Alligator mississippiensis: one gene and its partners. The protein of the gene in region 4 interacts with the protein of the main gene of each other region in a biochemical or structural test. Links are inferred from orthologs where the notes say so. Each region holds a gene or a part of one and is shown on either strand. Other genes may lie near its edges.

The links.
Region 1: the proteins of CDC42 (region 4) and CDC42EP5 form a complex in vitro, tested with the Homo sapiens proteins (2 studies listed by BioGRID). The link is inferred for Alligator mississippiensis from reciprocal best matches to the Homo sapiens genes CDC42 and CDC42EP5.
Region 2: the proteins of CDC42 (region 4) and ARHGEF7 form a complex in vitro, tested with the Homo sapiens proteins (2 studies listed by BioGRID). The link is inferred for Alligator mississippiensis from reciprocal best matches to the Homo sapiens genes CDC42 and ARHGEF7.
Region 3: the proteins of CDC42 (region 4) and TRIP10 form a complex in vitro, tested with the Homo sapiens proteins (3 studies listed by BioGRID and IntAct). The link is inferred for Alligator mississippiensis from reciprocal best matches to the Homo sapiens genes CDC42 and TRIP10.

The regions. Positions count from the first base shown.
Region 1 is NC_081828.1:39,179,497-39,187,444, forward strand, and holds the start of CDC42EP5 (cdc42 effector protein 5), read right to left. Parts: upstream 3,020-7,948; 5' UTR 2,457-3,019; intron 1-2,456. UniProt on the Homo sapiens protein: Probably involved in the organization of the actin cytoskeleton. May act downstream of CDC42 to induce actin filament assembly leading to cell shape changes. Induces pseudopodia formation in fibroblasts. Inhibits MAPK8 independently of CDC42 binding.
Region 2 is NC_081824.1:353,744,516-353,751,565, forward strand, and holds the start of ARHGEF7 (rho guanine nucleotide exchange factor 7), read right to left. Parts: upstream 3,017-7,050; 5' UTR 2,694-3,016; coding exon 2,529-2,693; intron 1-2,528. UniProt on the Homo sapiens protein: Acts as a RAC1 guanine nucleotide exchange factor (GEF) and can induce membrane ruffling. Functions in cell migration, attachment and cell spreading. Promotes targeting of RAC1 to focal adhesions. May function as a positive regulator of apoptosis.
Region 3 is NC_081831.1:24,055,808-24,063,028, forward strand, and holds the start of TRIP10 (cdc42-interacting protein 4), read left to right. Parts: upstream 1-4,207; 5' UTR 4,208-4,222; coding exon 4,223-4,273; intron 4,274-7,221. Other genes in the region: retinol dehydrogenase 8, read left to right, coding at 95-278, 1,549-1,779. UniProt on the Homo sapiens protein: Required for translocation of GLUT4 to the plasma membrane in response to insulin signaling. Required to coordinate membrane tubulation with reorganization of the actin cytoskeleton during endocytosis.
Region 4 is NC_081836.1:1,492,775-1,500,035, reverse strand, and holds the start of CDC42 (cell division control protein 42 homolog), read right to left. Parts: upstream 3,008-7,261; 5' UTR 2,908-3,007; exon of another isoform or gene 2,904-2,907; intron 1-2,903. UniProt on the Homo sapiens protein: Plasma membrane-associated small GTPase which cycles between an active GTP-bound and an inactive GDP-bound state. In active state binds to a variety of effector proteins to regulate cellular responses. Involved in epithelial cell polarization processes.

The DNA of each region.
Region 1 (7,948 bases), on a different chromosome or scaffold from region 4:
GTGTGTTGGGGGGGAGAACCATGTGGGGTGGATTAGGAGTGCATCCCCTGCCCCCCCACCCGCCTGCCCACAGAGGGAGGTGATCCCCTCCCCTCCATCACTTGGATCCAGCTGTGGGACAGGGGATCCCAGCCCCCAGGGTAGCTCAGGGCTAGGACCTTGAGGTGGAACCCAGAGAAGAGAGAGGCATCTAGACCCCCATCATCTCCCCAAACTCTCATCAAAAGCCTCCACCGGAATGCCCCAGACCTACCCCCCAAGCCTATTCCTCTGACTTGTGACCCCGCTGTGCCAGCCCCATCCTGTTCCCTTGAGGCCCCCTGAGCCCACCCCTCCCACCCACCCAGGACACCCCACATCCGCAGGCCCCCAGCCAAGGCTGCCAGCTGGTGGATGGGGGAGGGGCGGGTCTGCCAGAGGAAACTGACTTCACTTCCCTGGGACAGGAAATCACCTCCCCACCCCCCGCAGCCACACTCGGGCATCCAAGCCCCCTCCCTGCGCAGATCTCCAAGGCCTGGGATAGAGGCACCCCTCTGCCATCAGCCCTGCCAGGTTGGCTTGGGCCAGAACCCAGGCACCCGGGCTCCCATCCCCACTGCTACGCCCCGGACCCCATGCACCTCCCAGAGCCGAGACAGAACCCAGGTGTCCGGGCTCCCAAGCTGAGATGGGCCTAAAGGGAAGAACCCCAAGACAGGGAAAGGGGAGCCAGCGGGAAGCAACGACATGGGCAAAGTGACTGGGTTGGCAAAGGAAGTGGGTGGCAGGTCCAAGAAGGACACAATGTGGAGGACATTGCTGGCACAGATCAGGGCCGGGGGGTTTTCTCCCTTGGCCATTGAGAGCATCAAGCTTTGGATGGGCAAGCCAAGAGCCCAGCCTTAGTCAGAGGCTGGATGAGCCATGGCCTCTCCACAGCCTCAGTGCAGCAAGGAGCAGACAAGGCCAAAATGCCTCAGTGCCAAGCTGGGGTCTGGGGCTCTCCACAGTGATAGAGATGGCTGAGAGGGCTGGTCCCAGGGAAACATGATCCAGACCAAGGGGAGACGGGCCTAGGGAAGGGGATGGACCCACTGGCGTCGGCCAAAGAAATGGTGTGAGGAAGAAGCAGTAAGGGTTGGGGCTGGCAGGGGATTAGATAAATGCAGGAGTAGCAGGAGCAAGAGTCAGGGCCAAAGAAACCAAGATGGCAAGAGAAAGAGCCCAGTGGGCTGGGATGAAGGAGCTGAGGAGGAAGAGGAAGCCCTGGCCCTGCACTACACAGGGAAGAGCTTGCTGAAGGCACTGGCAAGTGCAGGGCCCAGCTCCCTCCCCTGGAACTGGCACAGAGCCCAGGTGTCCTGGCTCCCAGCCCCTGAGCTCAGACCCACCAGACCTCACTCTCCTCCCAGGGCCAAGGAAAGAACCCAGGTGTCCCAGCTGCCAGGCCCCCTGCTCTAATCCCCTCCCGGAGCAGAGCAGGGGATAGCAGGAGCCTGGGCTCCTGGGTTCCTGCCTGCCAGGCCTTGTGGAAGCAAGCCCCATCTCCACCCCCTCCCCTTCCCAGGGAGAAGGCGGACGGGGTTCATCTTCCCAGGGAGGCAGGTGGAACTGTGTCAAGGGAAGGGAGATCTCTGGGTACCAGGCCTTGGGGAAGAGGCATGACGCCTGGGTTCTGTCTTCAGCTCTGGAAGGGGCGTGGGGCCTGGGAGCCTGGACACCTGGGTTGTATCCTGGCTCTAGCGGGTGGGATCTGCAGTGACTGTGGCACAACTTCACAGCCCCTCCACCCCACCAGTTCCCCCTGCAGGGGGTGGGTGAAGGGAGTGGGAGCCGTATGCTGCTGGGGAAGGGGAAAAGCCAGGGAAGGCCCGGAGCAAACAACCCAGGAGAGTAGGGGGCCAATCAGCTCCCCCCACACACACTGGGAGGGGAGAGGCGTCTGTGGGGTTAGAGCAAGGGGCTGGTGCCAGGACGCCTGGGTTTTCTCCCTGGCCCAGCAAGAGAGACAGGAACTCTGTCTCCATGGAGCTGGGTGAGTGAGGAAAAGGTTGGGTGTTCAGGAGCTGATACAACCCTGAGGAGGGAGAAGGGAGGGAGGAAACAATAGGTATTTCCCACCCAGGTGAGGGGGCCATGGGGTCCTGCAAGAAACAGAGAAGCAAAGCTCAACCACCAGGCCTCACTCCCTCCAAGAGCTGGGAGAGAACCCAGGCATCCGGGCTCCCAAACCCACCCCACCCTAAACCCCTCCCAGATCCACAGCAAGGACCTAAGACTCTGGACTCCCAGCCCTGCCTCACTCACCTCCCAGATCCAGGGGCAGAACCCAGACGTCCAGCCCCTGCATTTCCCTTTCCCCATCCATGCCAGGGGCCCCCCCCCACGCACACTTTCCCTCCAGAGAACCCCGTTTCCTCCCCCCACCCCCAAATCCCTCCATCCGAGCCTGGAGCCACCTCGGTTCCACTCACCCTAACTCAATCCGACGTCAGGAGAAATCCGAGTTACTGGGATCCAGCCAAAATCTCCCTCTTCCTGTTTTGTAATCCAGCGAGGCGCCCGATGCCGACTGAGCCCAGGGAGCCCACAGAAGCCAACACTTGTCCCAAATCCAACAGCACGCCCCGTTCAGCCCGTCTTCATCCAGCCATCCTCTTCTCCCAGAAGCGCCCGAGTCGATGCAGGACCCCTGGCCACTCTCCTCCTCTTCTCATGTATTTCTTCCTTCCCCCTCTTTTCTTTTTCCTCCTCCGTGGAGCTGCACTCTCTCCCCTCCCTCTGGGGCGTGAGCTCCAGGACTCTTATTTACCTGCATTCATCAGAGACATGGGAGTCATGAGATGCCAGATCAAGATGCGCCACTTGGAAGAGCCCCTCCATAGAGGAACTCAATGCCTCAGTGGCTTGATGGGTAGCCCAGTTCACGGTCTCCCGGCCTCTGGAAGCCAAAGCAAATATTGTGCTAAAGTGGGGAAAAAAAAGCCATTGCACAGCCCAACTTCTAAAGTTCACTGCATTCCTGAGCTTCCGGCCCTGGCAGGGCAGAGTCAGCAGTAACACAGAGGCAGGCTGGAAACGGGGAGGTTCAGAGGGAAAAGAAATATGCATGTGTGTGTGTGTGGGTGGCGTTTGAATTAAATTAGGGGCAAGCCTGGAGTTGGGTTTGGGTGAGTAAGATGGGTTAGAAGATAAGAGGGATGGACAGAAGGATGGAATGGGTGGGTGGAGAGATGGGTGGATGGAGAGGTGGAGGGGTAGGTGGAAGGATAGATAGAAGAACGGGTGGAAAGAGAGGTGGGGGAATGGATAGATGGATGGACTGATGGGTGCATGGATGGGTATGTATGGGGACAGATGCAGAGTGTGGAGGACAGAGGAGTATTTATAGTCTGGATGGAGAAAGGTGGGGTGTATATGAGGGGGCTGGCAAGATGGATGTGTACACAGATGGAGGGGAGGATTTTTTGTGGTATCTTTTATTGGACCACCTGCATAGCCCAGAGAGCTGTTGGACAAGCTTTCAGGCACCAAATGCCCTCTCCTACCTTTCCTGGACCATGATGGCTGCACCAGCACTCCAACCCTACTATAGTAATGGAGGGAGGGAATAGATATAGTTTGTTTAAAAGCATTCACCTCTTAGTGATCTGATAAGGAGCCTGGGTTATGGAATACAGTTAAAACGGATGTAATACATATATCAGAGGGGTGCATTGGAGGTGGAGGAATGGATGGAGGAATGGATGGGTCATAAACAGAGGGAATTGATGAATGGATGAACAGACGGACAGGTAAATAGGATGGATGGATGGATGGATGGATGGATGGATGGATGGATGGATGGATGGATGGGTAGAGAGGTAGACAGGGTGGATGTACAGACAGACACATGGATGGGTGGGTAGGTAGGTAGAAGGGCAGAAATGGGGATGGCTGGAGAATCTGAAATATTTCTCTCTTCTTGCTCTGGCGTCTAAGGGAAGGACACCCTTCAAAACCCAGGGAATTGGGCCTCCAAGCAGATTTTTAGCCAGAGATTAAATTAGTCCTCCAGGCCTGAGCTGAATGGGACCAATTCTCAGCTATAGGAATACCCAAAAGCACAGGAGGGCCAGGCAGAAAACACCCAAATGGCTCATCCAACAATCCCTGCCCTCAAAAATCTCAGGAACTTACATGCAGACACTGACAAAAAACCCAAGGACGAGAAGGTAGGAAACAAAGGGCTGGGACTTACCCTGCCAATCTCCCCACTCTGCCAGTCTCACAGGGCAGTGCTTACCCACATACATGTGCTAATTTACTCCCAGGCAGGCACTTCTGGCAAGAGATGCCAGCCAGGAGGAGACGCAGCATGAAAGGTCCATCATACACACACACACACACACACACACACACACACACACACACACACACTCTCTCCAGTCTCCAAGATCTGGTCATGCAGCCCCAGTCTCTGTCATGACCTCAGACCAAAGCACCTCAACTAGACCAGAATGGAGTAAGGGTGAGGGTGTGAGGGAGGAAGGGCAAGGCCTGGGCAACACTCTACCCAGGGCATCAGCCATGCACCCACAAATCTCTGGTTATGGAATACAGCTATAAAGAGAGATCTAATATATATCTCAGTGAGGTACACTGGTGGCGTGGAGGGTGGGGAGTGTAGAGGGATAGATAGGTAGGTATAAGAAGGGATGGATAAGTGGGTGGATGGATAAGTAGGTACAAGGGATGGATGGGTGGATGGCAAATGGATGGATAGGTAGATAGATAGATAGAAGGGATGGATGGATGGATGGATGGATGGATGGATGGGTAGGTAGGTATAAGTGAGAGATGGATGGACGGATGGATGGGAGGCGTCTGGTCTGGCTTTACTGAATTCAGCCTCAGGGACACATGCAGAGTCTGCACATGTGAGTAACTGGGGTGAGTATGTGTTGGCAGCATAAAGGGGAGATTAAGAAGGGGAGAGAGAACCTTTCCTTCTAGATTTTGGAGCAGGGGCTCTTGGGTATTTTTCATGTACAGTCCCTGGTATGACAGGGGTCCCTGAACTCAGGACCCTGGGCAGCACCTGCATCCTGATCTTAATTGCTATCTGGGCACCACTCAACACAATGGATACCAGATGTCAGTCTGAAGGGTCTGGATGGCCCCTGGTGTGAAAAGGGTCCTGATCTCAGCCTGTCTGGGCGACGCCTGCTCATGGCAGCGAATTCATCTCAGCTGGTGTCTGGGCAGTGGCCAGCAAAGCCCATTCTCCATCGGGGGTCTCTTGGTGTTACTAGAATATAAGTGAATCATTCTACACTGCTGGGCCCAAACTTTTCACCCCACAGGCCTCATGGCAGTGCCAGGTCCATCCACAAGCCAGATCCGGTTGATGGGCCTGATTAAGCACATGAGGCCAGTGTGGCAGGAGCCTGATCTAGACGTGCAGGAGGGGCAGGGGTAGGGATGGTGCAGCCCCAATGGGGGGGGGGGGGGGGGGCTGGGGAGCAGCTTGGCTGCAATCCTGATGTCTAGGGGGTGCAGGGGGTCATAGCTCAGTCCTGATCCAAAGATGCAAGGCAATGGGCCGGGGGAATTGGCCCCGCCCATGCCCAGGTAGGATTTGATCCAGCCATGCAGATCTACCACCACTCCCCTGCTGCCAAATTTCCCGAACCGTGAGGATCCCCGCGGGCCAGATGCCATGGCTCTGTGGACCAGATCTGAGCTGTGGGCTGGAGGCTGAGCCCCCCGGTCTTCACTGTAACCATAATAAAAGATCAGACCCAGGAGAACAGCAAAAGCATGAAAACAGCAACAAAGGTGCCCACAAGCAAAGAAGGCGGCAATTTGTTCCAGAAGGAAGCAAGTTACCCAGCCAATCTGTTCACCTTGCAAATCCAAAACCTCAAGAGAGCAAGGGGACAAACACAGCCTCCCCCACCAGCTCCGGGAGGCAGGGAGCCGGGGAACACATAGCAGAGCAGGGCACAAATTAAGCAGCCAATCAGGGAATCCAATGACAAAGTGGCCCAGAAATAGAGCAGTGCCATCCAAGACAGTCACTAGTGAGGCTAAGGGCAGGAGCCCACATGCACCAAGCACCAAGGCCTGCTCAGGCGAAACAAACACGCTTACAACATGCTTAGAACACGCCCGGGGACACGTGACTTGGGGTGTGGCCGCAAGTGAGACTTGGCCCCTAACCGGGTGGGTGGGTGAGGGAGAGGCGGCTAAGGCTGGAGTGGAGATGGACCTGAACAGAAACACCTTGACACACCCTGAATGCACACACACCATCCCCCACCCTGAATACACACTCAGTATACACACACTCCACACCCAATACACACACACATAGAATATACATGAACACTCAATTACACACACCTCCACACACAGGCGCACTCGCACCCTTGCATTCACACACAGACCCAGGGGCCCATACCCACACCTCTCCATGCTCACATTGACTCCATGCACCCAGCCCCACGCCAGAGGGGTCCACCTACAGCACAGGTGCCACTAGTGGCACAGGCAGCCTCAGTGTGTGGCTCATGGGAGATCAGGGAGGGAGTAGGCAGCACAGCAGCAAATAAGGCAGGGAACGGAAAGCAGAGCAGCAGAGCAGGCAGGGGGCACAGGGCAGTGAGCAGAAAGCAGAACAGTGGATCAGGCAGGAGAAGGGAATGAGAGTGGTTCTTGGGGAGGGTGCGGGGCTAATTTATGAGATGCCCACCAAAATGGTTGTCCCTCACTGCCCTGGACACGCACAGCCTGCAGTCCCCCTGCCCCCTATTCCACACACACCCTACAACCCCAGCAAACATACCGCATACATATCCCTATGCACACATGCCTACATATACACTGCAGCCCCTTACACACAGCCCCCTATGTACCCCCCCCAACAAACACACACCCTTGGATTTACACTCACACCTCCCCACTGCTGGACACTCCCCCACACACACCCCTGGGCACATACATATGCAAACCCCTGGACAATACCCACCCTCCCTGGACACCACCCCCCACACACCCCTGGACAACACCCAAGCACTCCTGAACACACACATACACACCCCTAAACAACCCCCACACACTGCTGGACACACCCTCTCCATCCCTGGGCACACTCCTGTCTCCCTCCCCCAACATCCAATCCCCAAGCCTGGACACGCACAGACACACACCCAGCCTTGGACACCCACTCTAACACTGCCCCCCCCCCCAATCCTGGGCGCGCACACACACCCAGTCCCGGACAGACAGACAGAGACATAGACAGACAGACAGACAGACAGACACACACACACACACACACACACACCTCGCTCTGCAACCCCTTGGACCCAGAGCCCCTGCCCTGCGCCCCCAGCAAACACTGCACCCCAGGGACTACACGTACCCCTGTACTCACCCCGCGCTCACACACCACACGTTCAGGCTCCCCTTCTCCATCCCTGGGGGCTTCTCCCTTCCCTTCCCTTCCCTTCCCCTCCCCTCCCCGGCCCCGGCTCCCACCTCCAGCCGCGCCGTAATCGGGACAGTCCCCGCCGAAGCCGCCTGCCCCTTGGTTCGCACCCCTGGACGGGGAAGGGTTAAGGGGGCGTGACCTATCACGAAGCCCCGCCCCCGCCCTACCCAAACTCCCCCCACAATGTACTTTTAAGGGGACAATGCTCCACATTTTTAAAATTGGGATTATGAGTGGGAGCTGGGCAGGGGGAAGCCCCCAACCTCCCCCCGCCCCCCCCCCCGAGAGTGGGGTCCGCAGGAGGGAAGGGAGGGAGACCCCCCGGGGCTGGAATTTCCGGACCGTGTGTCCGCTCCAGGGCGGATCCCTGCCCGGGAACTGGGGGGTGTGGGGGGTGCAGGGAGGGAGGGTGGGAGATGGAGCGATGAAAGGAGGGGTAGAGGGAGGGAGGAGCAGAGCGGTGGGTGGCGTGTGGGGCTGTCAGTGATG
Region 2 (7,050 bases), on a different chromosome or scaffold from region 4:
GAAAATGGATTTGATTCCATTTTTCTTGCTCACCCCAAACTACTATTGTTGCCAAGTAGTAATATACATGCAGAATGTTTCTAAACAGAATCTTTCCAAAGTTTGATAGGAAGTAGTTTTACAAGTCTGTCAGCTATGTCTGTAGATTGGCAAGTCGACAAGTGCTATATGGGGGGCGAGAAGGCAAAGCAGCCTTTTTACCACAAAGACTATTAACTCACTCTGTGGTAGAGGGATGACTCAGGCAAACCAAGTTAGGCAGCTAGAACTGACACAACCCCAACTTGAGCAAGCCGCAGACTCTCTACAGCCACTATTCTAGCCAAAGAACCATAATAACGGTTTGCAAATTGCTGAGAAGTCCGTTGGTTCCCAGCCACTGCATCTATCAAAACGTGGATCCAATGACCTCAATAAAGACCTATTCAGAGCTGCCTGAACAATACGTAGGGAACATGGAGGGCCGCCTTTGTGGCTGCTCCAATAGTGTCCCACTGCACAAACCTAACACAGGGCCAAACCGTCATAAATTTCACCTTAACTAAAGTGGGCTATATTTTTGGTGGTACCAGTTACTCTAGTAGCTGGTCTATATATTTATTTATAAAACTATTATCTTGTCATACTATATTTATAAAATAAAATAATGAGATACTGTTCCTATCATCTTTTCCATTAAGCTTTCTTTATTATTATTATTATTATTTGCATTAGAGTAGCACCTAACATCCCCAATTATGTGCAGGGCTTCATTCTACGCTTCTATCTATGTGCACAGTAAGGCACAGTCCCTGTTCCAAAGAGCTAGACTCTCTGGCTCTGATGCAGCTAGGACTGAGGTCTGGTCTGCACTACAAAGTTTTGCTGACATAGATACGATAACTAGGGGTATGAAAAGATAGCAAATACCCTTGAGAAGTTAAATATGGTGGCAAAGCCCCCAGTCTACATGCAACTTCACTGACAAAAAGAAGGTATTTGCCACAATTAAGTTTCTGTTGTTGGAGACGGTATAACTACATGAGCCTCTGTCTGCATACACTGCATCTCCAGCCTCTGACAACAAAGATGCACCAGCAGTGGCAGTAGCTCTGTAATGTAGACTGACCCTCAATTTTGGATTTTTTGCACTGTGTAAATTAAGAATATGTTTGAATCTTTGCAAGACTGAATCCTACACAGGCAAGAGAAGAAGAAAAATTATCACTTGTGTTTCACAGAGGGGGAGACTGAGGCACAGAGAGACTGACTTGTTTATGTTCACAAAGGCAGGTAACAGGTCACAACCGTTGTTGCTTATCGCACTGCCCATAAACTCCTTTTTCTCCACTTAAGTGTATGTTGCCTTTTGTCTTATCATTACATTGTAAATTCTTTGGTGCTGGGGTGACCTTTTTGGTTACCTGTTTGTCAGGAACCTAGTACCACAAGGGTCTCTACATACAAACTAGTGTTGCACAGTAGTGCCAAGAACAGCATTCCCTTAACCGCAGTCCAATACCTCAATTACAAGGCAATTCTTCCTCAATTATGTGAATGTATTTTGCAAACATAGGTTTTTAAAATACCAACAATTGATCTCCTTCATTCTTTTGCTCATTATCTGGTAAAGTTCAATAGCAAAGAGCTGGCGCAGGTGCCAATAGGTAGGTCAAAGGTTCTATTTCTGCTCTGTACGGGGAAAAAAAAAAAAAAAAATCACCTGCCTCTAATTTCACCTTCAGACAAATACCAATCCCTCTACTATTCAGGAGAAAAGCCAGAACTGGAATACTTGGGCTACCTGTCCGATCATACGAAAGACTATATTGTATGTTGGGGTGTGGTATAAGGTTTCAAAACCCCCTGAATTGGGAACACAAGAGGAATTGCTGTATGGCAAGAGGCATGACTGTATCATAAGTGAGTTTATTTCATGCCTTTCACACAAACTCCAAATTGTAACCTATGTTTGCCATGGGGGGGGGGCAGAGTTTTTTTTTGAGGAATAGAGAAAAATATAAAAAGGCGGAAACAACAATATTAAGCCCCTGGCTAAACAAAACCTTGGCTGGGATGATCTAGTCGGGGATGGCTCTGCTTTGAGCAGGAGGCTGCCATAGATGCCCTCCTGAGGTCCCTTGCAGCCCTCGTCTTCTATGAGGAGGCTGACAACCGCCCAGTGCAGGAGCTCTGGGTAGCATTTTAAAACATGCCTCTAATGCTTACAGGGGGGAGGAAAAGGTACAAAATAGGAGGCCTAAATAAAACAAAACACGCTCCCCACACAAGCCAATGCTTACAGGGGCAGCATCATGTGGCCCCGGGGCCAGGTGAGGGATGCCCGGGCCCCGCAGCTGCCCTTCCCCCCACAACACAAGCCACCTTGCAAGGAGGGGCTGGGCCGCGGCCCGCGGGGAAAGCCCCTTCCCGCGCCCGGGAAGCCCCCGCAGCCAGGCGGGGCCGCCGGCTCCCTCCCGCCCGGGCCCGGGTCCGGGCCGCCAATGGCGCCGCGGCACAAAGGGGAGCGGTGCCGCGCAGGGACTCACCCGGTCGATGGTGCCGGGCAGCAGGCGGTCGAGCAGGCGGCACAGCACCACGCCGTCCTTGAGCGACGCCTGCAGAAAGCCCTCGGGGTCCGCGATGCTCTTCTTGGGCGACTCCAGCACGCCCAGGGTGATGAGCCACGTTACGGTCTGCTCGGCCGAGCTCATGGCTGCGGCCGCCCCGCGCCCTTCACATAGGAGCGACGCGGGCTGCAGGAGCCGCCTTCGCCGTCCCCCGTCCCTGTCCCTGCCCTTCCCCGCGCCGATGTAGCGGGCGACGCCCCGCGCGGCAGCGCCGGGAGCTCCCGCTGTGCTCGGCCCGGCCCCCACGTGACGCCGCTGGCGGCTGCGGCCCCCTAGCGTCCGCGGCCCGGGCGTGGGGAGCCTGCGGGCCGGGTAGGGCCGCGCCGCGCGTGTCACACGCGTGACCTTCGCACGTCTCTGGGCGGCACGCGAACAAAGAGCGGGCAGGATCTCTCTCTCACACACGCACACGGGAGTCTCGGGCAGGCACCATCTGGCAGAGCATTTAAATCCCCTCCCCCTGCAGCCCCGCTGGGGGCCCAGATGAAGTCTCCGCTGAGGCCTACACGGCCTCTTGTCCCCCGAAGGGCGGGGTCAGCGTCTGCTCAGGTGACTTGGAGTTGTGCTCCCTCTTCCTCGAGGGATACCTTTACTCAAGTTAGTCTATGAAGGCGTCCATCTCCCCTGCCTTGTGTCAGCCAAACCCTCTCCTCACCCCTCAGCAACCCAGGAGTCCCTTGAATTCAATATGCAGCCAGGTAAATTCCGCGGCAGTCTTTCTGGACTAGATTTGCTCCGCCTTGAGTTTGCCCTGTGTCGAGTACGGGTTTCCCTCGCTTTATGCTGTACGTGCGTTCCTGGAAAAACTGCGCATAACTCTGAGTCGCATAAAGGGAACCCACTTTACAATGTAACAAATAGGGATACTTCCAAGACCTTGATTGTACTGACCCCCAGACCCATTTCTACAGGACAATGTCTACTCTCCAACAGCAGACAGTACACACCAGCACAGGGCACTATCATAATGGGGATGGCAACTACAGAAACACATGTCGCAGACAACCCGCAAGGAGCACAGATCCACACAGGAGACTATATTTTGGTGCGCATCACTCCCACAATGCACCGCACAAAGTAGCTGACTGCGGGTTTCCACCACACCAATCGCATAAGAGTGAATTTATGTCGTATATAATGACTTTTTGGTATAAAAAGGGTAATTGCATAAGAGCGAATTCACCCATACAGAACCCACATAAAGTAAGAGAAACCTGTAGCGCAGATCTAAAAGAACAGACAGATTTGCGCTATGTGCCCTCTGGTGGAGGGTTGGTTAGTGCCACTTGGTAGCAGTCTGCGAGCTCGCTCGACAAACCAATGCAGAGGCATGTCATGTATGTCTGGGGCAGCGTCATGTGTTTGGCATGTCTGGGACAGCGATTCTCAACCCCAGGAAGGCCTCGAGAGTCTTTCAAGGGTGCCCTGGTCTGACAGGCTATGTTAGCACAGTTAGGTGTGCAAAGACTCTAAGATAAACCCAGAGATTTCAAATAGTGCTGAAGCCATTCTGCCCTGTTATGGGCTGAGTTCTATGCAACAAAACAAACTAAAAAAATTAACAAAACAAAACAAAAAATCGCTTCATTATTTTTCTGTATTCAAACCAGGAGCAAAAGCTAATAGTCTGCATTTTCTAAGGAGTTTCCTTGAGTCCATCTATGGGTGCCATGCGCCTAAGAAGGTTGAGAACCACTGGTCTAGCGCGAGTGCTTTAGGACGGCTGCGTTTGAGAGCCACTAGCATTGTCCATAAAGCCAGACAGACCCTAGAAGGAAAAGAAATAGCAGAAATGAAGGACATCCCCCAGAAAACTGCAGTAGCCTGAAAAAGCAAAATTTGGCCACAGCAAGTAAAGATGTGCTGTATAGGGCTGCTGGAAGCCTTTGGGAGCTTCATATTAAAATGCTCTCGTCAAACCAAAAGAGACTTGTGATGGCTTCTCCACTTTGATAAACTTGACACACTCCACATACTACCAAGTCATCCCTGACAGTGATGACATCCCTGGGTTACATGAAAATATTCCTGAAGAAAAAATGTTTTCCCTCTTAGGAACATACTAAACTGCAGTTGATTTTAAAAATCCCAGGGTGAAGATACCTCCTGAATTCCCCTACAAAGCTACACATCTATTTCAAATTACACAAGCTGAACAGGGGGCACTGAATGACCATATTATATTAGATTCATTTTAATTCATCATTTTTTTGGTTATAGTTAGAGTGTTTTTCTTTAAAAAGGAGAAAACGTGAATGGATTCATCAGCCTTTTTATGTCCTTTCTGCAAGCAAGCTCATCACAGAAAATACAGCTCAATGGAAAGCTGAAAGGGATTATTTTTATGGGATCGCCTTCTAGGAACATTGGCAGCACATTCCTGGCCCAACTGATCCCATTTGCACATTTTTCTCATTTGCTTACAATTTATATGAGCAATGAAGCCAATTACTAACACTATGTATGGTGGCTAAAGTGCTGGCTTTTCTTCCTGTGTTCACTTCCAGTCATCATGTCTGCAGTCTGCCATATGTTTCACTGGTTTATTTTCTGTGACTTTCCACAATGATGGTTTCTGGTAGCAGCTGAGAGCCTGACATAAATACTTAGAAATATTTTGAACATTAACCTGCCAAAAATTATGTGTGCCTTTTTTCCCCCAATTAATCTACTTGTATGAGGAAAATTATCCCTGTGTTGAAAGCCTTGCCTAGACTAGACTAGATGTGAGGAGAGTAAACTAGGATTAATATTTTTCAGTGTTAAAGCATCCACCGCAAGGTGCAAAGTTGTGTTAAAACTGTGTTAACTAATATATTTTCAAACAAAATCTACCTTTCTTATTTACATAAGGCTTCTGGCATTCCAGGATTTAGCCCGTTGTTAACAGCCTGTCCAATTTTGCTGTATGCTACTGCCAAATCAGCTTCTTATGTATATAGGAACTGTTATTCAGGATATGTATATAGGAATTGTTATTCAGGATCTGACCAATGATGCATCTAATTCAGTATCCTATCGCTGAGCATGGCTGACACCAGATGCTTCTGAGGAAGATGCAGGTGCCCTTGCAATAGGCAGACATGAGATAATTTGACTCATGACATTATGTCTCCTAATCCCTACTAGTTACAGACTTTCTTAAACACTGGAGGATGAGGTTGAATATCGCTTTTTTATGTTAGCATTATCTTTTGTAGCTTTTGCTTTTCTCCTTCAGTTTTACTATAAGGCACACCACTGTACAGAATGAATAGAGGACCACTCAGCATGGCTAACAGTATAAAATACCGCACTGGAAAACCTCTAAGCAAACTTGCTTCCATCATAGGAACCCGTAAAAAAGTTTTCAACCATTTCCAGAGAGAAACTTTCAAAAGGGCCTAAGAGATGTAAGTACATAAATCCCTTTAACTTTCACCTTCTGCATGTGGACTTCAGAAAAGAAAGACAGGTTTGTGTGTAACCAAGCATACACACAAGCCAGCAGGAACAGCTGCAGAAGCAACTTCCCCAGGGATCCAGGGGCCTTTAGACACTGATGCCACCAAGCTGTTTTCTGCAGTGAACGTTTTCTGCCCTTTACCGATTGGCTGCTGGCTTCAACTTCCCCCTCCCGCACAGTCTCCTCAGCCTGGTTCTAGCTGCCCTTCATGCCCTTCTCTTCTGTTCTCTGACACCTCCCATTCCTACCTCCACTCTTCCTTTTGCTGCCTGTTGTTCATTTTCACTAATCACTTCCTTTCTTCTATTCTGTCAACCTTGCCTTATAATGTATTAAACACAAATAATAAACAAAAGCCCCACCATAGTTACTTAAAAATTCAGAATGTTTTTAACACTATGGGTTCCTATTTGATATCCCGGTTTATCTCATGAATCATATTTGCACACCTAATGGTTCTAACATTGCGTGGCACTGCAGCACCCCTGAAAGAATCTCAAAGCACCCCAGCGCTGGTTGAGAATTACAATCTCTGGTTTAAGTGCTACCATAACCCAAATGATAAATCATAAACATTATTCTTAGCCTTCACCCCTTTTAATTGGAAACAAATCTACTTCACTGTTAAAGCTGATAAATATATTTGTTGATTGATCTGTATGTGGTTTTTGGCCCTCTTTTGTTTCAAATTGTCTGTAAGCTGATCTTTACTCCCACTTAAACACACATCATACATGATCATACCTAACTCCTCTGAAAATATTCAGCTAATCAGAGGGCATTTTTTGCTATTGTAGAAACTTTAATCCTCTTAAACATATGAGCAGCCCGGGGAAAAATGATTGGGATATTGGTACCCAATCTTTTAGGGGCAGTGAGGGCAGGAGCAAACTCTTTCTGCTTCACGTTGTTCATGGTTGATCCTTCCCCTGATTTTTATATTCCTTTCTCACAACCCTCTATTGACCAGTGGAGGAGAGCGTGAGAGATTTTGGC
Region 3 (7,221 bases), on a different chromosome or scaffold from region 4:
GGTTCCCAGGTCATAGCCCACAGGGTGGAGGCTCTGGGGGAATTCCTGGCTGCCCTACATCTAACCCACATCTGCCCTCCTGCCCACCCCCCAGCATCAGCCTGATTGAGCCAGGGCCGGTGGCCACGGAGTTTGAGCGGAAGTTGTATGAGGAGGCGGCCACCCTGGATTTGTCCGGCCTGGACCCTGAGACGCGGGAGCTCTTCCAGGGCTTCTACTTGCCCTACTCTCGGGAGGTTTTTGCCGCCCTGGCCCAGTCGCCGGCAGAGGTGGCCGAGGTAGGAAATCCCCTTGCCCACAAATCCTCCATTTTCTGGGGTGCTGGCTGCCAACCCAGACTGGGCATGACTCAGCACCCTCCACCCTAAAAGATGGGGGGGGGGGGGTGGACGGGTATGTCTCTGCTGTGACCCCTCCAAGCCATGGGGGGAGAGGGCAGGACCATCACCCAGGTCTCCCCAAGCAGGATAGGCCCTAAATCTACACCTCAGGGTGCCCGGAGCTGGGGTTTCTTGCAGCAGCTTTCTGGAACATGTCCTGCTGTAAGATTTTTTTTTCTGGGGGGCATGTCCAGGGCCCTTGTTAGTATCACTTGGATGCTGCCCCCCTCCCCAGTGTTTTGGGGGTTCAAGGGCAGACTTGGGGGGGGGGGGGGGGTCCAGGGTCCTTGTTATGTTCAGACCTGCTGACCTGCTTCCCCTGATTTTGGGAGTTCAGGGGGTGGGTCCGGCTGTGGGTGCCTGGCTGTGGGGGGTGGAGAGAGTTTCACTGACTTCCCCCCCCTCCCCCAGCACTTTGGGGGTTCAGGGTCTGGCAGGAGGCGGGGTCTGGCCATTGGGGGTATCGGGGACTCTGGTCAATCTGAGATCCACTGACTTTGCTCCTCCCTCAGCACTTTGGGGGTTCAGGGTGGGGGGGCATGTCTGCAGCCCTAGTTGGTTTCAGACCCAGTCCCCCCCACCCCCCTAGCATGTTGAGGATTTAGGACCTGGCCAGGGGGGAGCTCTGTGTGTCCTCAGCCCTAGTCAGTCTGGGATCCTGCCCCAACACAATGCTTTGCGGGGGTCAAGGTTGGGGGTGGGGTGGGAACTGGATCCAGACTTGGGGGTATGTCTGCAGCTCTGGTCAGTTTCAGACCCACTGGATCCCCGCCCCCCGCCCACCCCCCAGGGTTCAGGGTCTGGCTGGAGCATAGGTCTGTCTCAGGCCTGGTCAGTCTCTACCCCTCTCCCTTGGCCTTTTGGGGGTTCAAGATCCAGCCATAGGCTTCAGATCCAGACCCCACCCCCACCATGGCACTTCAGGGGTTCAGGATCCAGCCGTGGAAGCGTCTATCCAGGGTCTTGCTCAGTCTCAGACCCACTGACTCCACTCCCCCCCCCCCCTGTACTTTGGAGGTTCAGGATCTGGCCTGGGGAGGGCGGGGCATGCTCAGGGTTAGAGCAGCCTCAGACCCACTGATCCCTTTCCCCAGCACTTGGGGAAGATCTGTGTTCCCGGAGCCCCAGTCGGTTTCAGGCCCTGGTCCCTCCTCCTTCCCCTCTCCAGCACACGGCTCGGGTGATCACGTCAGAGTCGCCGCCGTTCCGGTCCCAGACCAACAGCCTGTATGCACCGCTGGCCACACTGAAGCACGCAGACACTAGCGGGCACTTGCCCCTTGCTGCCTTCCAGCGCCTCATCTTCCAGCATGACCGGCTCTTCAAGGCCAGCCTCAGCCTGCTCAAGCTGCTGCAGTGGCGCAAGCGCCGGGACATGGACCACACCAAGACCCCTTGAGCCCCAGCCTTCCCCCCCCCCCCATACAGCCACCTCCCCTCTAGCATCCTCAGGAGGGCGTGAGGTGCCGGCTTTTTTGTGGGGCGGGAATGGGGCAAGGGTGGGGAGTAGGGATCTGGGTGGGGCTGTGAATTGCCCCTGGGGGCTGACCCCACTCAGGGGAGGTTCAATTTGTACTGTGGATTAAAGCAGCAGGGAGACCTGCATGGTGAAAGGCAGAGGAGAGGCGTCCTCTTGGGCTACAGATGGTGGAACTCGGGTGTCCGGGCTCCCAGCCCCCCCCATGACACCCCAGACCGCACTCCCAGAGTTGGGTGAGAACCTAGGCATCCAGGCCCCCAGCCCATCCCTGCTCTGACTCCCCAGACCTCACCCCCCTCCCAGGGCTGAGAGAGAACCCAGGTGTCTGGTTCCTAGGCCCCTGCTCTAACCACCCCCCGCCCCAACTCCCCGGAGCCAGGGGCAGAACCCAGGCATCTACCCCCACTCCTAGAGCTGGCGAGAGAATCCCAGCTGCCCCTCACAACTTGTTCCAACCCTGGTACAGAGCAGGACCTGCTAGAAGATGCTGGTAAGAGAGCCCAGCAACTACCATATTTCTTGGCATAGCAATGCCCAACCTGTGGCCCATATGGGGGGTACCTTAGGAACATTAAGGTTATCCAGGAAGCAGGTTTGAGGAGGCATTGCTGTCCCCAGGTTCACTCCCTCCTGCCCTGGGAGGGGAAACTGAGGCACACACAGAGTGGCAAAATGACCTGACTAGACCTATGCAACAATGAGACTTGCATCCCCAGCTGGCACCTGCAGCCCTATCTCATCCTCCCTCTATGCTCTGGGAGGGGCTGGAGCTGATCTGAGGTCAACTTGAGGGAGTACCCCAGCCTCTACAACCCCCCCCCCCCCCCCCCCCAACTGGGCTGTTTGAGTTTGCAAAGCTAAGCAGGGTCTGGTTGGGTTAGAGCAGGGATGGGAGACCCAACTGAGAGTTAAGTGGCCTTGGTTGAAGTTAGCTCTTGGGGAAGGTAACTTTTATGTTTCTATGAAGCATTTTGGGGCCAGAATGCACGTTTTGGGGGGGGTGGGGGCAGAGGTCAATCTTGGAATTGAAATGCGACTGCTTCTGGGGTGGAACCACAGGGACAGGAGGCTTGGGGTCCAGATGTCTGGGTTTTTCTGTTTATACATCTTTAGTTAGTCTATAAGGTGCATCTCTCACCTGCCTTTGACCTACACAGCCAAGTACCCGCAGCTCCACCAATCCCTGCACTCAGCCCTGCCCTTCCACCAATCAGTGTGGAGCCCTGTGTGTGAGCCTGCCCCTGAAAGGTAGCCAATAGGAGCACAGTAGGGCAGGTGTCAATGGGGGCTGTAGGGGTTCATGTCAGCATGGAAGGCTGAAGCTAGACATGATTTTTCCTGTGAAACTTTGGGGCAGGAACTACATTTCCCAGCATGCTGTGTGCCATGGGCTTAGGTGGGAACTACAGCTCCCAGCATGCTCTGGGGCCCTTGGGTGCAGCCACTTCTGGGGGGAGGGGCAAGGAGGCTGCGCAGCCATTGGTGGACACAGAATCCCTGACCTAGTTAAAGTGGGGCCTGGGGCCAGGACTTGGGGTTTCTGCTCTGGGAGGGGCAGGTCTGGGCTGGGAGTGCGGGTGCCTGGGGTCTCTCTGCTTGGGGCAGCGAGGGGCTGGAGCCTGGACTCCTGGTTTTTGCTCTGTTTGCGGGAGGGGCTGGGACCTCCGCTGCCTGGGTTGTCTTCTCTGCTGCTGGGGGGAAGGGTGCTCAGACACCATTTCCATTTGGGGCAGCGGGGCAAGAGGCTGCGAGCCTGGATGCCTGGGTTTTAGTTTCCGTTGGGGGAGGCTGGGAGTCCAGATGCCTGAGTTCTGCTCCTATCGGGCCTCTCTGGCGCCAGGCGCACAAACCTCTCAGGCACACAGACCTCAGCGAAGAACATGCTGCTCTTGGCAGGGGGGAGATCTCGGCTGCCAGAGGCCTCAGGAGACCTGGAGGTGAATAATTCACTACAGCAGCGTGCAAATAGGGAGCTCTGCTGACCGTCCAGACTTGGCGCTTCTCCCTTCCACCCCCTCCCTGGAGCTGCCTTGCCAGGGCCCCTTCAGCCTGAAGGTTGAGTCATCGGCAAGGACACATCACCCTCCATCCTACGCCAAAGTCTGTGGCCAAGTGCCTTTCCCTCAGTATCTCATTCCAGCTTATTCAGCCTGGCCTGAAAAAAAACAAAAAACCAGCTGCTGCAAATCAGAATGCTCATTATACATGAGAAATATGGGAAGAACAGTTTCAGCCCCTTGGTAATACTTTTGGTGTGAGATTTCCCCTGGGTGCCCAGCTGCTGGGTATCAGAGTGCTCATTTATATGCAAGAAATATGGTAAGAGCTGTTTCGGCCACTTACTGGGCACCCTGGAAAAACTATGGAGCAGATCCTCAAGGAATCCATTTCTAAGCACTTGGAGGAGATGAAGGTGATTAGGAACAGTCAGCAGGGATTCACCAACAGCAAGTCATGCCTGACCAAACTGATTGCCTTTTGTGATGAGGTGGATGCGGGGAGACCAGTGGATGTGGTATACTTTGACTTTAGCAAGGCTTTTGATACAGTCTCTCACAACGTTCTCGCAGGCAAGCTAAGGAAGTGCGGGCTGGATGAATGGACTGTAAGGTGGATAGAAAACTGGCTCAAACATTTGGCTCAGAGGGTAGTAATCAGTGGCTCGATTTGTAGTTGGCAGCTGTTATCAAGTGGCATGCCCCAGGGGTTGGTCCTGGGGCCAATTTTGTTCGGTGTCTTCATCAACGACTTGGAAGATGGTGTAGAGTGCACTCTCAGCAAGATGGCAGATGACACCAAGCTGGGGGGAGTTGTAGATATGCTGAAGGCTAGGGCTAGGATTCAGAGTGACCTAGACAAATTGGAGGATTGAGCCAAAAGAAATCTCATGTCAACAAGGACAAGTGCAAAATCCTGCCCTGGGATGGAACAATCCCATGCACCGGGACAGGCTGGGGGCTGACTGGCCTGGCAGCAGCTCTGCAGAAAAGGACCTGGAGGTTATAGTGGACAATAATTTGAATATGAACCAACAGTGTGTCCTAGTTGCCAAGAAGGCTAACAGCATCCTGGGCTGCACTAGTAGGTGTGTTTCCAGCTGATCAAAGGAAGTGATTATTCCCCTCAATTCAGCACTGGTGAGGCCACATCTGGAGTACTGTGTTCAGTTTTGGGCCCCCAGCTACAGAAAGGATGTGGGGAAATTGGAGAGAGTCCAGTGGAGAGAAAAGAAAATGGTGAGGGGGCTGGGGGACTTATGAGGAAAGACTGAGGGAACTGGGTTTATTTAGTCTTCAGAAGAGAAGACTGAAAGGGGATTTGATAGAAGCCTTCAGCTACCTGAAGGGTGGCTCCAAAGAGGATGGAGCTGGACTCTTAGTGGTAGTGGATGACAGAACAGGGAGCAATAGTTCAAAGTTGCAGCAAGGGAAGTTTAGGTTAGATATTAATAAAAATTTTATCACTAGGGGAGGTAGTAAACCACTGGAACAGGTTACCCGGAGAGGTGGTGGAATCTTCATCCTTGGAGGTTTTCAAGACCCGGCTAGATAAAGCCCTGGCTGGGATGATCTAGTTGAGGATGTTCCTGGTCTGAGCAGGGGTTTGGACAAGGTGATCTCCTGAGGTCCCTTCCAACTCTAATTTTCTATGATCTCAGAGCCAATTTCCGTAGTGATCCCTTTGGTATGAGATTTATTGGGCAGTCTTCATTCTTCAGATCAGCCCAGAGATCAACAGGTAAATCCTGAGATCATCAGGAAAGCAGGGCTGGAAGGGGCCCCACAAGGTCTCATTTAGCTCAACCCCCTGCTCCAGGCAGGATCTCCCTTAGCTAAACTAGCCCAGACGTCAGGGTAGACATGCACCTTCTAGACTTATGAAATCAGCTTGCTTCACCAGATGCATCCTAAATCATCCAACCTGCATCCCAGTGTCCATCCAACCTGCTCTTGGACACAGCCAGGGATGGAGACTCCACCACATGTCTGGGCAGCCTGCTCCAATGCCAGACCACCATGAGTGCCTGATGCCTCTTGAGTCAGGGGGGAACATGCCCCCCTCCTCTGACACCAGTCAGTGACAGGGGTAGGAGGTGGGGGAGGGGTCCATCTCTTAGTTATGAGATTAAAACCACTCCACCCTGTTCTAGGTTTGATGAAGCCTTTGCTATAGAAGAATTTCTCTGGGATTTTTCTATAGTCAGGAAAGGATTGGAAACAAAGAGTTGGTATCTTCTGAGGTAGTCTGGGATCTAACATAGTGGTGGATAGGTTAGGGTGCAGAAAGCAGATCAGTCAATGGTAGAGGGAGCACAGGTCAGATAGCAGAAAGCAGAGCAGCCAATGGAGCAGGGAGTATAGGGAGGGAACAGAAAGCAGAGTAGCTGATGGAACAGGAAGTTCTGGGCAGGGAGCAGAAAGGAGAGCAACAGGTGGGGCAGGGAGCAGAAAGTAGAGCAACTGATGGGGCCAGGAGCCCAGGGTAGGGAGCAGAAAGGAAATTAGCCAATGGGGTAGGGAACAGGAAACAGGGCTGCTGGTTGGGCATGGGAAGGGATCAGAGTAGTGCTCAGGGAAGGGCCTGGCATTACTCTGTGGCTCCCTGCCAAAGAGGTCACCCCCCCACCAAGTTAGTCTATACAGTGCCATCCCTACCCCTGCCTGTTGCCTGACCCCAGGCTATGATACATGTTGCAGTGTCACGATTCTCCTCCAAGGGGCACTGGACCAGCACAGAAGAGCCTCTCCCAGTCAATGCAACCAGGTCATTCCTAACTGTATCCCATGCTTGGGGCAGAGGTGGGGATTAGCACCCCAAACTCTCTCTCCTTTTTGGGCTGCTGGAGCAATGGTGGGGAAGAAGTGAAGATGCCTGGCAGTGAGACAGAGGAGCTATAAATACTTGAGCAGGAAGGCGAGGACTTTGAGCTGAAGGACAAGGGGTGGCGGGAGCCAAGAATAGATTTAGGCCTGGAAATGAGGAAGGTGTTGAATCAGGGGTGGCAAACAATCTCCTTGGAAAAACAGAAGGGCAAAGAAAAAATACCCTTCTTTTAAATAGTTTATAAGCTGGAGCTGGCTCTGACCGGGATTAGCCAGCAGCCAGGACCCCAGAGCTCCCTGTTCCCAGTACGTTAAAACGAAAGCCTTTTTAAAAAGCATGAGACTGGTGTTAAGGTATCACAAGGTCTGGCCAGTGAATGCAGCTTTTGAATCTGCTGGGGGTGGGGAGGGGGTTGGATGTACCTCAGCTCATTGAGCTGGGAACTCAGTTTCTATATTTACTAGCCTACAATGTACCCAGGAATCATCTCCCATCCCCCATCAGGGTACATGTCTGAAGTGGAGAAGCTGGTATTTC
Region 4 (7,261 bases):
TCAATTAAAAGAAGGAATTAGTAAGAGTCAGAAAAGCAGAAGTCCAAACCCAACATGAAATACTACCAGTGCTGCTAACATCCCTAAGGCTTATATTCACCAGTTTAATGCTTCATTTGAGGAACACAGGTAGGTTTGGATTTGTTTCTTTCATTCAACAATTCAATAAACTACAGGATGTTTAACCAAAACCCTCAGACTCTCTACTACTTGAAACTAGTGTTTACTTCTCCCAGCCCATCATTAAATGTCGGGCATTTATCCACACACCACTCTAGCCAAGTAGTGGAGAACCATAAATACCCAGGTCACCTAGAATTCTGTACCAAATTTTAACCCTATGAAACTAATGATAGTTTTGCCAGACTGTAAAACTAATAGACCTGTGCGAAGTGGCTTGTATTCGCTCCGGATAGGGCCAATTCGGGGGACAGCGATACAATTTGGTGATTCGAATCGCTGTCCCAAATCGATTCTGCCGAATCTGATTCAGAGGTTTGGCTGGTGCTGAATCACACAGGCATCCCATCCCCTGCCTGCTCTCAACGGCTGCCTTGCCTGCCCCAGCTCTGGCTCTTTGAAGAGAAAACAAAAACGCCTGCACTCACCCGTGCTGCGTGGGGGGCTCTGCCACAAGCCCCCAGAAGCCCCAAGGCCACTGTAGCAGCCAGTGAGTGCAGGGTGGGGGGTTTGGGTTTTTTTCAGAGGGCCAGGAGCTGGGGTGGGCAGGGCAGTTTTGGTACTAGAAAGGACTTTCTAATAGACACAAAGGAGCTTCCATGCTGAATTAGACCAGCGATCTATTTACTACTGTAACTGTCAAAGACTGACCTAGTGTTAGACATCTGACAGGAAGCAGCAAGATACTCAGAAATGAAAATCTGCACTTACATGTTCACATTAGAGAGGGGAAGGAGTTTCCTCTTAGCTCTAAAATCCACTGCCTTTCAATTTACCATTGCTCTTGTAACAGAGATAACATCAATAAACCCCCTCCCCCAAGTAACCAACTTCTTACATTCATTAATTGCATGTGCATTATCTCCTCAGTCATCTCCAACCTCCTTCTCTCAGCCAGAACTCCTTCCACTCCTATGCCTTCAATTTTGCACAGCGAGAATTTTAAAGTAGCCTGCTAGTCATATTCAGTGCAAATTATTTCAGTGCTCAGGAAATCAAAACTATTTCATGTTTAGAGCCCTAATTTAGATTGTTTACTTCAGAAATGTTGGAAAGACTGCAGGAAACCTGTATTAGCAATGAAAACCTAATTTAATTTCCTGGAATAAGTAATCATTTTATAGCATCCTTTTTTTTTTTTTTTTTCAGTTTACCAACCATGCACCTAGTCTCAAGATTATCAGCCTAAGCGTGAGCAGCCACATACAAAGACACTACATATATGTATATCGGTTTTACCTGGTGAAATTTTGACATAAAGCTACCCACTCTTTGGTACAACCATTTTGTTCAATTATTCCTTATGGCAGGGGTGGGCAAAATGTGGCCTGGGGGCCGGATGCTGCCCGCCAGGCCCTTTTATCTGGCCCGCGGGGCCCCTAAACATTTAGAAAATGAATATTAATCTGCCCTGGGCTGCCTGTCAAGCAGCTCTCGATGGCTTGCCGAAACTCAGTAAGCGGCTCTCTGCCCAAAATAATTGCCCGCCCGCCCCTGCTTTATGGAGACGTACGGTGATCTTTATATAAGGGTAATACTGGAAATACTAAGTGACTGGTTTGGACAGACAGAACCAGCTCTACGCTCCTTAGTAAAAACAGTCTTACCCAAACATGATCATTTTCACAAAAAATTGATTCGTCTGCCGATTTTCCTTTCAGAACATGCTGCCCCTTTACAGGACAGATAATGGGGAACTTTACGGGCGCCATCCATTCCAGCTGCCGAGTCCCCAGACTGAAATGTTATTACTGCAAAAATACTTGATCGTTTCCCTTTGGTCTTGTACTGATGACAAGAGGCAAATAAAGGATCGCTATCCCAAGTCATTCTGCAAACACGCGAGACGCTGACCCAACTCCCGCGCCCCGTTTCAAGTCCGGGCGCCGCGGGTCGTGTCAGGCAGCGAGACGGACGGCGCATCTCGTTCTGCTCGAAGCGCGCCGCGTCTACGGACAAGCCGCGGACTACGGGACTCGATCACAAACTGCAGCGCTGAACCTCTCGGGACCGCACGGCTGCCCGCGATGCGTCTGCCAGCCCGCTTTCATGCCAGGACTGACAAGGCAGGGACGCGCTGGGCCAGGCCGCCCACAGAGGTGTGGGACTCACCCTCCATCCTCGCAGGTGCGCGAGCCCCGGGCGGACAACGCCCTGGCGGGGAGGATGGGGTTGGGGCCGGGGCTGCCCCCCTCCCCGGCGGCATCTCTAGCACAGCAAGACGGCTCCCACCATCTTGTCGGGATCGGAGCGACGAGCGCAGACGGCGGACGCGGGCACGTGCCCGACAACACGGCTCGGCTCGGCTCTGCGCTCGCGCCCCGGCAGCGCGGGGAGGGGCGGGGAGGGGAGGGGAGGGGAGGGGAGCCCGCGCCGCGCCGCGCCGAGGGACCGGGCAGGCTGCGGGTGGCAGCCGGGCGGGGAGGGGAGCGCGGGCTGCCGGCAAACGGCAACGTGTGGTCGGGCGGGGCGGGGCGGGGGGGGTTACAGAGGAGGCGGGGGTGGCCGTGAGGACGTGTCAGCGCGGGGCTCGGGGAGCGCGCCCGGGCCGGGCCGGGCCCCCCGCAAGATGTCTGCGGCTGCAGCAGGAAGTGGCGCCGGGGAGGCAGAGGCAGCGGCCGCCGCCCCAGCAGCGCCCCGCGGCGGAGGATCGGCCCGGCCCCGGCCCCCGCGGGCGGACAGGCCCCCCGGCCCCGGCCCCGGCCCGGCCCCGCCGCACTCACCCACCTCGTCCGCGCCGGGCGTTGGCAGCTCTGCGGGGTCTCCTCGCCTCCGAGCAGGGGCCTGACGTCAGCGCGCACGGCGCGGGGCAGGGCGGGGCTTGGGCGCTGTCGTGTGTCGTGCGCGGACACGTGTGGGGCAAGCGCGTCCCCACCCCGCCAGAGGCCGGCCGGGTTGCTCGTCCTCCCGCGGTGCAAAACCCGACCCCTTGTGCCCTGCTCTTGTCCCCCACACACCAAGTTGTCCGGTTCTCTGTTACTAGAGGACAGCCCAACGGTCCTCGGGGATGGCCACCTTAGGCCGTGTCTGGCCCCAGCCCCACTCCGAACCCGGGCCCGGCCTGCAGGGGCTCAGGCCCCAGTCCCGGTGCGCAGGGACCAGTCGAGGCCCGGCGGGCCCAATCCTGGAGCGCAGGGTGGTCCAGCACGAGCCCCTCCACCAGTGACTCGGGGCCGCGAGGTCCTACCACGGGCGTGCCGCGACTCCCCGCTGCACCGGCCAAGCGGGGAGGTGGGCCACGGGGCTGCCCCGTTCAGCTCCTGGGGCCGGGAGCTCCCCTGGCCCCGGTGCAAGGAGGGGGCGCACGATGGGAAGGGCAGGGCACGGCGAGCTCAGGCGTCGCCCCCGCCCGCTACATCAGCGGTGCTCAACCCTTCTAGCCTCAAGGCCGTCTCCATAAACGCTGCCCACGGACCAGCACGCATTTTAAAAACCTACGCGCCACGGAGCTAGGTTCTAGGCTGAGCGGTTCTCAACCACCGTGTCACTCCACTCCAAAATATTTTGGGGGGTGCCTTCATACTACACTAAAAAAAGGTTGAGAACCACTGCTTTAGAAGAAAGGACTAGGATCCCCTGATAAATTGGGGGGAATGATCTGAAATAAACAGGATGAAATTCAGTAAGGTCAAGGGCAAAAGGTGTTGTTTGTGCTTCAGTTAGGAAGAACTTCTTCACAGTGAGAGTGGCCAAGGTCTGGAACGGGCTCCCAAGGGAGGTGGTGCTCTCCCCTACCTGCGGGTCTTCAAGAGGAGGTTGGATAGGCATCTGGCTGGGGTCATCTGAACCCAGCGCTCTGCAGGGTCACTATGCCGGGGGTCGGACTCGTGGTCTATTGAGATCCCTTCCGGCCCTAACATCTATGAATCTATGAATTGAGGAACCATAGTCAGCTTTCAGGAACAGGTTACATTTATTAATAAATAAACTAAAGGAGATGGATATTAACTGAGAATCAATCCCAGTGGGCAACAGCCCGGAGCCCTGCTCCTAACCCGACTGCCCACTGTCAGTTTTCTCTGAACAACATAGTTATTTTCAGACAAACCTGTTACAAGGCCAATACCCTTACATACACAAAGTGCTACACTTAATAAAAAACAGTCAAATTCACGAATATGAAATGAGGAATTACTGGTTAGTCTGCAGTATTGTGAAAAGGACCTGGAAGCTATAGGAGATGACAAGTGAGTGACTCAACGCTGCAATATCGTCGCACAAAAAGCTAGCAGCATTTGAGATGCATTAATACAATTGTGAGACTCAAGTCACAGGAAATACTTCTTCCACCCTATTCAGTGCTGAGAAGGCCTCACCTGTAGTACTTTCTCCAGTTTGGGGCGCTGCCCGCCCTTCAAGAACTAATTGAACAAACTGGACAGAGACTATGGAAAACCAATAAAATGATTAGAGGTCTAGCAAATATGACATTTGAAAAAAGACTGGAAGAATTGGGATTATTTACTTTGGAAAAGATAAGACAGAGAGGGCATCTGATAATAGCCTTCAAATATAGAAAGGATTGTTATAGAGGATGGCAGTCAATTGCTGTCTGTGTTCACGGGCAGGGGGACAGAAGTAGTAATAAGCTAAAAAGGCAACAAGGGGCAGTAAGGTTAGATTTTACAAAGAACTTCCCCTACCTATGACAGGGGTTGAATACTGAAACACATTGCTCAGAGTGTGGGGAATTGCCAGCACTGGAAGATTTTAAGGACAAATCGGACAAACATTTGGGACGGCTCACAACAAGGTGACAGCGCCTTGAACGGGGAGCTGGACTACATGACCTCCTACGGGCCTTTCCGACCATGTTTTTCTGCTCCTGTTTTTTATAGATTTTTTGGAGCTGCAATGCTCTGGTCACAAAGTGTTCTACTGAAGTGGAGTTTATGCTGCTCAGTAGTTCCTCCAGATCCCTGCACTGTTGCAGAACATGAGATTTCAAAACCCTGAACTGAGACTTCAAAACCAGCGATGCTCCCTCATCCCACGCACAATATTGAGGTTGAAGAGCCCTCACCACAACTCTACGAAAACAGGAAGTCAATGTTTGAAGTAGTACTTTGCACACAATAGAGTCAGGAAATTTGAAGTCTGCCCCCATTCAACAAAATACCCTACTTCTCCAAAATAATCCCCCGAGTTTTGGGCCTGACACTTCTGGCATGATGCAAAGTGCCACCCTGTTCTTCCAGCATCACTGCAGCCAGGGCTACCATGCATCTTGTGTGTGGCATGTCTATAGACACCAAGTTGTTTGGGAAATATTACCGGAGCTGTGCACTTCCTGGTTTTCTAATGCTTATGACTGTGTCTCTGGGGTTTCAACACTAGTCTTTGAAGGGATATGCAAGGGGACCTTAACGGAGCATTTATCACTGCTGCAAGTGTCCTTGTTTCTTGTTTGCAAAAGGGGGAGGGAGTAAGTGATACTTGCTGCCTCTGAGGATAGGAATAGTTCTTGGCTTTCTGTCAATGTTATTAATACTGAGCACTGGAAGAGTTGCAGTTCGAACACACGGGGCCTAATCCTCATTTAAGGCCATTTTGTGCCACCCTAGCAACAGAGGGCAGAACAAGACCCTCAGGACGTCGCGTGTACAGGAACCTCCCTAGTGATCACACAGCGGGCATACAAGCTCCAAGCTAACCCTGCAGCGGACATGAAGCATCAGGAATGTGTCGAGAGTGCATTGTGCTGCATTAACTATAAGGCTGGGGAAAGCAGAGCTGCTCTTGCAACAGAAATAGGGCTGAAATTAGCAGGGCCCTGATCCCTCAAATATACGTAGCTTAGAACATGTTCCTCCTTCCAATACAGAGATGGAGCAAGGGTAGATGGAGGCCACTTTTCCAGAAAACAGCACACTGCACATTCACCAAGACTAAAATGACTGGGAGGGGTCCTCTTTCCCTAGGAGTCAGCATGCTGGCAATGTCAGCAGATTGCTAACACCGCCTCGTTCCACTCCATATTACAAGCCACAGCCCAATAACTGTTCACATTTTAAAATGGGGACTTTTCTTTTTTGGTACTCTGCAGTCAGTCTCAGCAAGGAGAGCCCAGAGATGCCAATTTCTTGTCTCTCCTGCAGGAGCTGGGTGGGCACTGCCAGAAGTGTGGGCAGGAGCTGCAACCTCCCTCTCTTCCCTTCCCCTTGTCTCCAGCTCTGGCAGGGGAAGATGCAGCAGCAGCAGCAGCAGCACAAGGGCAATCTGGGAAATGTAGTTCTTGTTATAGGGTGATGTCATTGCATTTTTTCTGCCAGAAACTGTGGGGGGTTTCTTTGGCCACTAAATGCAAGTCTGTGGCAAAAAAAAATAAAATAAAAAGGGGTGATATTTCCCCTCAGCACCACCAAACCTCCAGCTGCTCTGCTGCCACTGTTCCTCTTTCCCTCCCTGCTGCCAGAGGCTCTGGAGCCAGAGCTGGGAGTACAAGGGCAAGGGGGCGGGGAAGGAGGGAGAAAGCAAAGGGGTAGTCTAGAAATACTCAGGCTGAGGATCCACGTAGGAAAGATCAGCCAAATACATACGTATGGGGCTTTCAGTTGCATGTTTAGTGTCTACTGTTAATTAAGTCTCAGCCTTGTTAAACTTAAGGCACCCTTTGCTAGACTCGAGGCACCCCTCAGAAATGCCAGCGCTGAACTTCCACTTGTTTTCTGATGACAGAAAAACACTAGAGCAATTCTTCTGTTGCACAGAACTCAGAAAGCCCACAGCAGGGCAGAACAGTTTTAATCCTATGGATTCCTATTTCAAATCACTACTAACATTGCCTAGCACCCCATGATCAGTCTGGAGATTTTTGTCTAATGCATGTATTGCAGGCTATTACACTTGCCTAGGCCCCATTCTCATAGCATCAGAATACCTCACTATCCTTAATGTACCTGTTCTCACATCCACCTGTGAAGTAGGAAAATGCTTTTATTCTCATACCCTGACAGGGCACTGGGCACCAGCTGCCTTGTTATATCTCTGCCCCCACGCAAGCAGCTGCCATGGCTGTAGTCACTACCCCATGCCCTGGGCTGGATCTGGCCTAGAAGGAGCCCCCATGGTCCAGAACCCA